2 linked regions of the Drosophila melanogaster genome follow. The gene in region 2 interacts genetically with the main gene of each other region. Each region holds a gene or a part of one and is shown on either strand. Other genes may lie near its edges.

Region 1 (4,828 bases), on a different chromosome or scaffold from region 2:
CACATACACGGTAAATCTAACAGGAAAATATGTAAAGCGAAGCTGGGTGAATTTTTTTTTATTTATGCCTCGTAGCTGGAGATTTGTTACTGTCAGGACGTATGTATGATTAACTCTGCTGCAACGGAATCCTGCATAAACTCTACACTCGAAAGTATGCTTTTTGGGGCTCTATTTTTTCCGGAAGCACGGCAGCTGCTAAAGCTGCTGATTCTGCGCCATTGTGCGAAATGTTGGCTTCCAGTTGCCGTGGCCACAGCAACTGTAACTTTATTTCACCATTGTTGTTCAATTGGGTGAGGGGCTGGAACTTTCTGCTGGTTTCATGAATCAAACATGACCGAATCTTGTTACATATTTGCAGTTTTCTTCGTCGAGTTTCTTTTGTGTACACATGTGCGCGGTTTATTTTTTTGTTAGTTAGAAAAGTTGGTCGCCCCACACACCGAAAATGGAAAAAAGTAGAATTTTTCGCCACTGTTTGCGGCTGCTACGTATGCAAGGCCTAAGCTTTTGAGTGCCTGCCACTTTTCTCTAAGCCTTTAAAGCGCTGAATTTTCATCTGAGAGCTGTACTGCGGTTTGGCTGTGTGGTCTGTTGCTTTTAATTGACGGAGCCATAAATTAAATGAATTTTCCAAAATCTTGTTTCATCTGGATTTTCTGCATTTCGCTGAATATGCTGCATACTCAATTTTAAATTACCCGAGGTATTCCTCTTATCAGAATCAGAAAATCGAGCATTTTGAGTGCTTCGAGTCATGCTGATGTTGGGTACTTGATTAAGCTAGCTAGTTAATGGCTGCCATTTAGTTTGATTAGATATAAAGCCCCAAACTGAGTTCCATTGTAACTTGTGTCCAATTGACAAATACTTATGGGACGACCTTCCTTCATTCATTGGTCAGTGAAAAGGAGCCCCTTAACCGAGTGAATGAATAAATGGCTATTTATTTGTACAAAGGGAAACAAAGTGAACTCTAAACTGAAATGGTAAGCAAATGTCAGGCAAGTGAAGCGAATGAAAGCTTGAATGATATTGACAAAGGCAAATGCTACCACCCATCGTCCTATGAATGAAAAAAGAACTCAAGGGGCTGGCCGACTTGGGCAGGAGTCGCGGGTTTTTTGCTTTTCAATTGTTTACTAGTCTCCGTGTTGATTGTTTTCTTTGGTTCCTTTCTATGGATACCCTATCAGATGGCATGATACTTTAGGCACTGTCTACAGTATAAGCGAAAAATTTCATCTAAGCGGGACAGTAAAATATACTTCATATAAATAATCATTTGTGGTTTAATGCTCTGAAATCTGAAATCATAAGCCTAACGTTTTCTGGCGAAGTTCTTTACTTTTTCTTGGGAGTCTTAATATACTTTATATGTTCATATGGGAGACGTGCCTTTTGGAATGTTAACATTATATCCCTTACTGACATTCGTTTCTTACAGCGTGTAAGAATCAAAGCTAGGATGCCATACAGCTTTATTTATAGTTAGTTATATCCTCTACAGTAAATACATTTCCGGATCACAAGCCGAGTCGATCATGATCAAGAAAATATGTAACGCCCAGAATTTGAAAAATGATCCAAAAAAAGTCCATTGCAGTTATGGTATGTGATAGTCGAGAAAGCCCAAAAACCAGCTGTCCACAAGGGAACTTAAAACTCGAACTTATGCCGATGTCAACTGGATTCCCCATTTGCTTTTCTTTTCTTCTGCGGTGCTGCTCGTCTCTTGATACTCACAAAAGACTCAATTAGGCGTTAGACAAAGACGGTGGACATAGCCATATGCTGCTTGGCCCAGAAGTTGTCGCTAATTCGCAGACAAAGGGCGAACGAGGGGCCAGTGGGCTTAATCGATAGAAAAACGAAAATGGGAAAACAAACTGACAATTGTCACGGACTGCCCCCGTCCGTTGTCAAGGTAAGACCGCCCGCACTATTCATACTCACATACACGGGGCGTATGCGTAATGCCTTAGCCATACCGCACGGCACTTCACATGTGGCGTATGATTAAGTCGTGCTTGGGTAGAATGCGCCTAAAACGAATACATTACCGGCAATCGGAGATGGAGGCGCCAGTGTGGCGAGCTGCAGGATCCGCTGCCGATGCTGCTGACACAATTTTCGCCGCTGCAGAGCTGCAACTGCAGAATGGCCGCACACAGATGCACCAGATATAGATACAGATACACAGATACAGATGCACGAAGCTGACGCCGAATTTGCGAATTTCGAGCTTGACACGAACACCCGGAGGCTGTTGAACCGCACCGCTCTGAACTCTTTTGGCTAGTTTTGTAGGTTTATGCCGTTTTCGTGCACATCCTTTCCTTTTCTTGCAGCTTCCTTTACAGTTGCATTTTTTGCAGCGGCTGCTGCAGTCCGCGTTGCCAAAAGTGAAAAGAGGCGGCCGGCACGGCGGTCGGTGGTCAATGGTCAATGGTCAGAAAACAGGTTCAAAAGTCGGCGACCGCAGGCGCAGGTCCTGTGTGTGTGTGTTACGAACGGGTGTGTGTGTTTGTACCGCACAACTTTCCCAAAAGTATGCAAAGATATTTAGCCTAGTTTCGACTCTCCGACAGCATCGTTGTTGATTTTTTGCTGCACTTTCTTGGCATTTTCTTTCAATTCATTTTTGCTCTCAAATTAATTTTGAAAATTTATTTATGGAAGATCATTTCACTAGCTTTAAACACTGTTTTTGTTTTTATTGTTGACTGAAGCACAACAAACACATCAACAAATACCTACATATATTTCTGTATATATGTGTATCTGTGTATGTTTCGCTGTGTAGTAAAAATAGTAAAACGCTCGGCACTTAAAATAGGAGAAGCGCAGCGAAAAACCGTTTGCCGCTGTTCTCTTCTATTGTTGTTGTTATTGTTTTGGTTGCTTCTTTCGTTGTCGTTGTTGTTGTATTTACCGCTGCTGCGTGTGGAAATCACGGAGAAAACGTTACACGCTCAAACGCCGGATAATGAAAGACTAACCTGCGAGCCAGTAACCGACTGCCACATTGGCCGACTGCCTCTTTAAAAATGCCGATTGTCGCGACACGAAGGGCACCCGAAATGCACACGAAGAGTGAGAGTGGCGAGTGCGAGGGCGGTGAAAGCGGGACAGATAAGGAAGAAAGTGCACAGGATAAGGAACAGAGTGGCAGTGGAACACTGGCCAGGCGATAACAACTGCGCCGCTCTCTCTCGCTGTCGCTCTCCGATGTTCCCCATCTTCCTCTCGTTGCAGTGGCGCATTTCGCAGGGGGTGTAAAGGTTTGGCGGGGAGGGTGGTGTAGAGGCATTGCTGGTTAGTATAGCCCACACCCACACCCCCTCCTCTACCACCCGCTGTCTTAGACAAGCAAGCGCATAAGTTTTTGACGCCCCTGTTAAGTCGGTTGGAAACAAGTTGCTGTACTCTATGCTTGGAAAATAGTCTATTAACAATAAGCACCGTTAGGGAAAGTGATTACTAGCAGATCGGGGTGCAAAAAAATATAAATTTTCAACACCCAATAAAGGTTCACGTGGCCAAATCTTTTATTTCTGAAAATTGTATTGTTTTATAATTTCTTAAGCTTAAAATATGATATTATTCACGCGTTGAAGTACAGTATTGATCTCAACATATACATTTTATTTAAATATATATATTTATTTATATTCAAAACCAAATTTGAGAAGTACATCGCCAATTCCAACTCAAATTGGCTAGAAAGCTTTTGATCGCATTGAAGTCAGCTTTTAAAAATAACTTAATTGGTATGTGTTTTACCGGATAAATGGCTTTCCCCTGTATAATTTTGATTTAGTTGATTGCGCCTTTTTACTTGGCTCTCTATGCAGCATCACGCCTACGAACTTTTTCAAGTCACTTATGCATTTTATTTTAATACCTATACATATTTTAATACCGCGCCATAAAAACTTCACTTAAAAAGTTAAATAATAATATTTTGTAGTTTTTTTTTTCTAATTATAAATCAGTTTTCCTAATTTAAAGTAATCTTCTTCTCTTCTATTATTATAATTCATGTATTAAATCAAAGCTAAAGCAGCAAATTAAGGCAATCGAATTAAGCAATGAATTAACATTTTAGTACTCCCCATCTACGGTTGTGTAATATGCCTCTCTAAATAATCGTAGGGTATCACCGGGGCTTTAAAGGTGGAATTCCTTACGAATGTTCTTTTGACTATGGCGACTGCGTTAGAATTTGGGGACCTGGATGGCTCGGCGGTTCGGCTGCTGACGGGCCCAGAACTGCGAACCGAATGGCGAGCTGTGCGAGGCGTCGTAAAAATAAATAAGCAAAACGGAAATTAATAAGACCCAAATGTTGCCGCTGTCGCAACGACCTCCCCATGTTGCCCCTGAGAGACCTGCCGCGACAATAGCGTTAGCCTTATGGCCATATAAACGCAGCAATGGAAACAGCAGCAGCGAAAGCAGCAAAAGTAGCGAAAGAGAAGCAAACGCTGCACGCCATTGCTGTAAGTACAGTACAGTACAGGAACATGTGTGCCAGTGTGTGCGCTCACAACCTTTTGCTACCTTGTATTTGGCGTCCATTTTTTTTCGTCCGCTTTCTGTTTGTTTTCGTTACGGATCCCAACTCATTCGGCAGGGGTGAACACGGGGCGTATGAGCAATATATTTATGTTTATAGCCTCGTTTCCAGTTGGTGTGTAGGCATAAAACTGTCGCGATTTTTATTTCGGATGTGTATGATTATTTGGCACGACAACTCAATTCAATGAATGAATAATAGCAATCATGAAATCATAGGACATTTACGAAATAAAATGACAGA
Region 2 (5,199 bases):
CTGTTTAACTGTCCTCCGCCCCACGCCACCTTTACAATTGTGTCCAAAAAGTAAGCAGTTTAAAAAATGTATATATTTAAAGATTCAAACAATTTAAGTCCAAAAATCAAGTAAATTTACCGAAATATATTTGCAATTAAACAAACAACTATTTAATATAATTGTATTTATAAAGTATTCATTATCTTTCAATTCGAGTCATTTAAAATTAGTAGATACTTCTTTTTTGTAGTAAAGAAAACTCCGAAAATGAATACGAAATTAATGTAGTATACTGGAAAATTTGCAATTGCTTAACTTACTATTATTATTTTGACCTCCACAGTATTTATGCGAGGATTGTTATAGTTACGCTTGTGTGCAGTGGGGCGTGTACGTTTGTGTGTGTGTGTGTATCTGTGTTTGTTGGGGGTGCAACATGCAAATGAATCAAATTTCTTGCATGTGTTCGCCGTTGCATTGGTGTTTGTGCCTCTGTTTGTTTGTTTACATGCATGAAACAACTGAAATGCAACTGTATGCACCCAGCACAAGCACTAATGCCCGTGGAAACACACACCTGAAACCAGAAAGTAGGTTAACTCGTTCTTACGGTTCCAGTTTTGCAGTAATGCACGAAACGCGACTGGCATATAAAAAATATATAAGAACCCTTTCTTAGCGCAAGATTTTGGAGAAAGGAAGTTAGTTCGATTTTAAAACACAATATAAAGGTTGTCCTAGACGAAGAATTCTTCGAGTTATATTACCTTCCATAAATTTATAACGATATCTTATAAATTATAACCCAACTGGAAAATATCTTTCGATTTAATGTGCCGTCTGTGATTTCTCAGAATTAATTCTATCAATAAATTTACTTATCTATTTTTACTGCCTCATTCATGTTTTCAAAATATCATTTTGTTTGCCATGTTTATGGTAAACTTTCGTTTATTTGAATCATATGGCTTTGATTTAATACATTCTTGCACATTAAAATACGAACTTTACTTTAGATTTAAATTATTTTGAATAGCCATGGGGAATGCACTCGTGCCAAATGAAGAATCCAAGTGATTGTGATTCCATTGATTTCTTGATTGAATAAAAGCGTATGCTTCTAATAGCACCTTTCAAACTAATCAATCGGAATTGTTGTTATTTGTGCAGCATTGAGTCTTTGCTTTCAGCTCCTCTTTTATTTGCCTCATTTAAATTAAGCTAATCAAACACAAGCGTCGACTAGCAACACCTCCAGCTTCCTCTGAACCCAGATGAAAATATGTAGATGAAAAATCTTTGGACGCAGTGCGTCCTGCGACCTTCTCCTCCACCTCTTAGAATAGAAGCCCCTGCATCTGGTAATCGAGAAACTGGCACAAGTGGACACTGAAGAGTCATCGACAGGACGATGATGGGGATGCAAATGCCGACGAGAATGGGAATGAGGATGAGATTGAGTATGAGTACCCAACCTGGACAAAGGGTCAAAGGCCACTGGGCAAACAATGCCGGAGCAGAGCAACAAAGTAATCAATTTTATCACACAAAACACGAGTGTTTTCCTTTTACTCAGGCAGCAAATATGCAAACTTTTCAATAAAAGGAATACTAATGGGTTATTTGTTATCCACTAGCTGACAGTTATTATTTTAAAACGAAGTTCAATGGTTAATAAAATGGAGCAGAACTTAGAAGGAAGCCATTTCACACTTGGTTCATCATTTATTTTTTTTTATCCATAACCCTTTCAATGTAGTAATGTATCTGAGAATATTTCCCTGTGTACGGGGCACACCTTCACTCACCTTGAGTTGAGATTTCCTCTTGAGGGCGGCAATTGAACGAGTTTGCTGTCGTAGAACCTCCAGTGCAGCAACGAGGTCAGAGGTCGAAAATCAAAACGAAATTGAAAACTGATTCCGGCCAAGCCAATAGCTGAAATCATCCGAAAAAATAAAAATATTGATGCCACGTACTTTGAAACTCTCACGAAATCGGATTTCATTTTCGAAAAGTGTTATACTCTAGCAATATCTGGTGTATACATATAGTAGTGGCTTTTATTATAAAACTTGTCATAATTAAAATGAAATTTTATAAGTTTGTTCAAATATTTCTATATTTAAGTAATTGATTTTAAGTAATCACATTTTTGTCATTATATATCATAATTGCAAGAGCATCTAAATACGATTTCCCCGACACGTTTTGCTTTAATTGTTTACGTTTGCGGGAGGAACGGCGCGAAAAAGATGAAAAACATATCGTTTGAATTATAAACAATTTGCAGCGAAATTCGTTTTCAATATTTTCATTTAATTTTCATGATTGGTTTGTTTGGCGTTAATTGCACGTTTTTACTGACTAATGAGTGGGTGATAGGCTAGGCTAGCCGATTAGTTCATTTTCGAAATTTTCGAATATTTTGGAATAATTGCGGATCTGTATTTGGAGGTTTCTCTTTCACTTGGAATAACCTTGCGCAATTTGAAATTTGTAACATGTTGGGAGGGGCTTTTCACTGCATATTTCCGTTTCGTGCTCTGCAACCGGAAGTGCACACACACACACACACACACACTCATAGCCAAAACCACCACACCAACACACTCAAGTACTTTTTCATATATTTTTTTTCTACGGTTTGGTAACTTTTAAGAGGGTGTTTGACCCATAAATGAATTTATGCCAATTTAGAACGGCAAACACAGTTGTGGGCTTGGAAAAACTTCGGTTAGGGGGATTAAGCATTGGGCGGGGGCGTTGGCTAACCAATTAAAGCGAGTTTTTTTTTTGGGGGTTGTTTATTTATTTAGTATTCCCTGTTGCTTTTGCAGGGGCAGCATAACCGGATATATTTGTGCAATTATTTTAATGGCCTAGGCAATAACACAGAAACACACACAAACACACAAATGACTAGTGGCTAGCCCATTTTTTATTTGAAATTTACTTTCTTTGCTCGAGCTTTTCTTTTGCCTTTGGCCAAATAATTTTGGCTTTAATAATTAAAAGTATTTTGGGTTGCCCGCTGTTTTCCGAGTTTCTCGTGCGCCTTGGCCAGCAGTCGACTTGCAACTGAGCAAGTGAAAAAGTCGAAACAGCTGAAAAAGTGCAAGGACTCCCGATCCCAAAACCGATTCCTACAGACCAGACGAACTCTGAACCGAGTTTAAATGTCTGTGGGGGTATTTCTATTCAATGGTGGCCCCAAAAACTCAATGAAAACGGCAAGCCGGCTGCAGGCGATGCAGCGCGCATGTGTCCTGTAGTAAAACGGCGGCAAGGATAATGACCTCTTCGAGGTGCAGGTCGCTTCTGCATGGGCGAAAAAAACCGTTGGTGGAAGGTAAGAATTTCTTTTAGATTTTATATTCCCTTTTCTACTTGATGTTCTCAAATTTTTTTTTTTCCTTATTCCCAATTTGTTAAAACCTCACTTTACAGCAATTTTAAAAAGTCCGCGCAACATAACAGCGATTAGGAACACTGTCACTGTAATAATCTTTGCAGTACTTTTTTTGCGGTAGTTGTGAATTTCGTATCCCGTGACTTTTGTTGAATAATCGATATCAACGAACAGTAATCGATATGTGCTCTAAACAAACAAACATGTAATTAAAATTAATTAAAATACGGACAGTTTGTTTACCCCAAAACAGATAGTTTAGTGATCCACCGAAATGAGTGTGTTCCCAAGATATCCAAACACCAGGCTAGACCTGTAGCATTAATAATATTGTGGTCTTATTGTGGACTTTTGCAATGCTTAGTGCGGATCGGGATTCGGTGGAGGAAGAATATGGATCGTGCTCGGCCTGGAAATTCCGTTGCAGCGTGGACAGGTGCCCCTACAGGACGAACAGACCCTACAATCTGGCGCGTCATGAGGAGTCCCACATTGGTATTACGCAGTCCAAGCTATACGGATGCCCCGTTTGCGTTTACAACACCGACAAGGCGTCGAACCTGAAGCGGCACGTGTCTATCAAACATCCTGGGTGCAAAAAGCGCCCTCCGGAAGCGCAGCACAAGGATCGCAATGCCAAGTTGCAGTGCCTGGTGATGGGATGCAGATACGAGACAAATCGTCCATACGACCTCAAGCGCCACTTGATGGTGCACAACAATCCGGAGAAGAGCCACAGGACGTTTAAGTGCTCCCTTTGCACCTACAGCTCCGACCGAAAGGCCAATCTCAAGCGGCACCACGAGCTACGCCATTCGGGCATAGAGGAGGCCATTCAAACTGCGGAGGAACTGCGCCAGGAGATGCTGCTGGAGAAGCAAATGCTGAAGGAACATAAGCTAAAATATCAGATCACAGAGAAACAGGATTTGAAGAATCTAAAGTTGAAGGACCAAAAGCAGAAGGTGCAAATGCTGAGGGATCAGCAACCGAAACAAAGGCAAAAGAAAGAACAGTTGCTGGAGGACCAGAGTCCTGTGCTGAATAAGCAGCTGGAGCACGGAAATATTCCTTTAAAAGAAGCCCTGGTAGGCAGTATGAAATACGACGAGGAAAGTTTGGAATTTGTTTACGAGGAACTGCAGGAGGAGGAGCAGCCGCCCATCATCACCATTAGCAACCCGCAGATTCTCCATGGAGACATCCGGGATAAGCACGTCATCGTAAGCATTGCAAAATGTAGTTGTTAAATTCGCTCTTCAATCATTAACAACATTTACAATGTTTGCAGGCTGTCAACGTTGATGGCCAGTTGCGATGGTTCCAGTCAATAGATCCACCGCCGGGAGCTCCAACAAAATTGGAGCTGCCCATAAAGAGCACTTCAATTTCTGTCCAGCAGCAAATGGACGAATTAGACGATGAGTTGGCCATGTCCCTTGCCGAAGAAGATCAGCAGGATGAGTTTCTTGTGCCAATGCTGAGCGGAGAGGAACCAGTTAAAATAAAACAATCATCGCTGACCGATCTGGCTTGGAGTTGGAGTACGCCGGATGTAAGAAAGAACTATAAACGAAAAAAACGAACTTTTCCTAACAATGTTTTTATCACTAAAGGCTGTACATCACATAAGTCCCAAAGCGGAACTCAAGAAGGACCTTAAAGCTGGCGATGCAGATACAGATTTTCCAGATTGGTGGGATGATGGCAAGTACACAAAGATGCAAAAGAACCAAACATTTGCAAAGCACTCAAAGAAGCCGTCGCAGGAGAATGTGCAACGCATCCTGCGCATCATCTATGAC

The links.
Region 1: of Trpgamma (region 2) and Calx, changing one suppresses a phenotype caused by changing the other (phenotypic suppression), as found in Drosophila melanogaster (one study listed by BioGRID).

The regions. Positions count from the first base shown.
Region 1 is NT_033777.3:20,976,359-20,981,186, reverse strand, and holds the start of Calx (Na/Ca-exchange protein), read right to left. Parts: upstream 3,005-4,828; 5' UTR 2,067-3,004; intron 1-2,066. UniProt on the Drosophila melanogaster protein: Na(+)/Ca(2+) antiporter that couples the energy of a Na(+) electrochemical gradient to the movement of Ca(2+) against an electrochemical gradient across a membrane, which contributes to the regulation of cytoplasmic Ca(2+) levels.
Region 2 is NT_033779.5:16,673,633-16,678,831, forward strand, and holds the start of Trpgamma (transient receptor potential cation channel gamma), read right to left. Parts: upstream 3,070-5,199; 5' UTR 2,939-3,069; intron 1,921-2,938; 5' UTR 1,791-1,920; intron 1-1,790. Other genes in the region: her (hermaphrodite), read left to right, coding at 3,751-4,617, 4,686-4,949, 5,011-5,199. UniProt on the Drosophila melanogaster protein: A light-sensitive calcium channel that is required for inositide-mediated Ca(2+) entry in the retina during phospholipase C (PLC)-mediated phototransduction. Forms a regulated cation channel when heteromultimerized with trpl.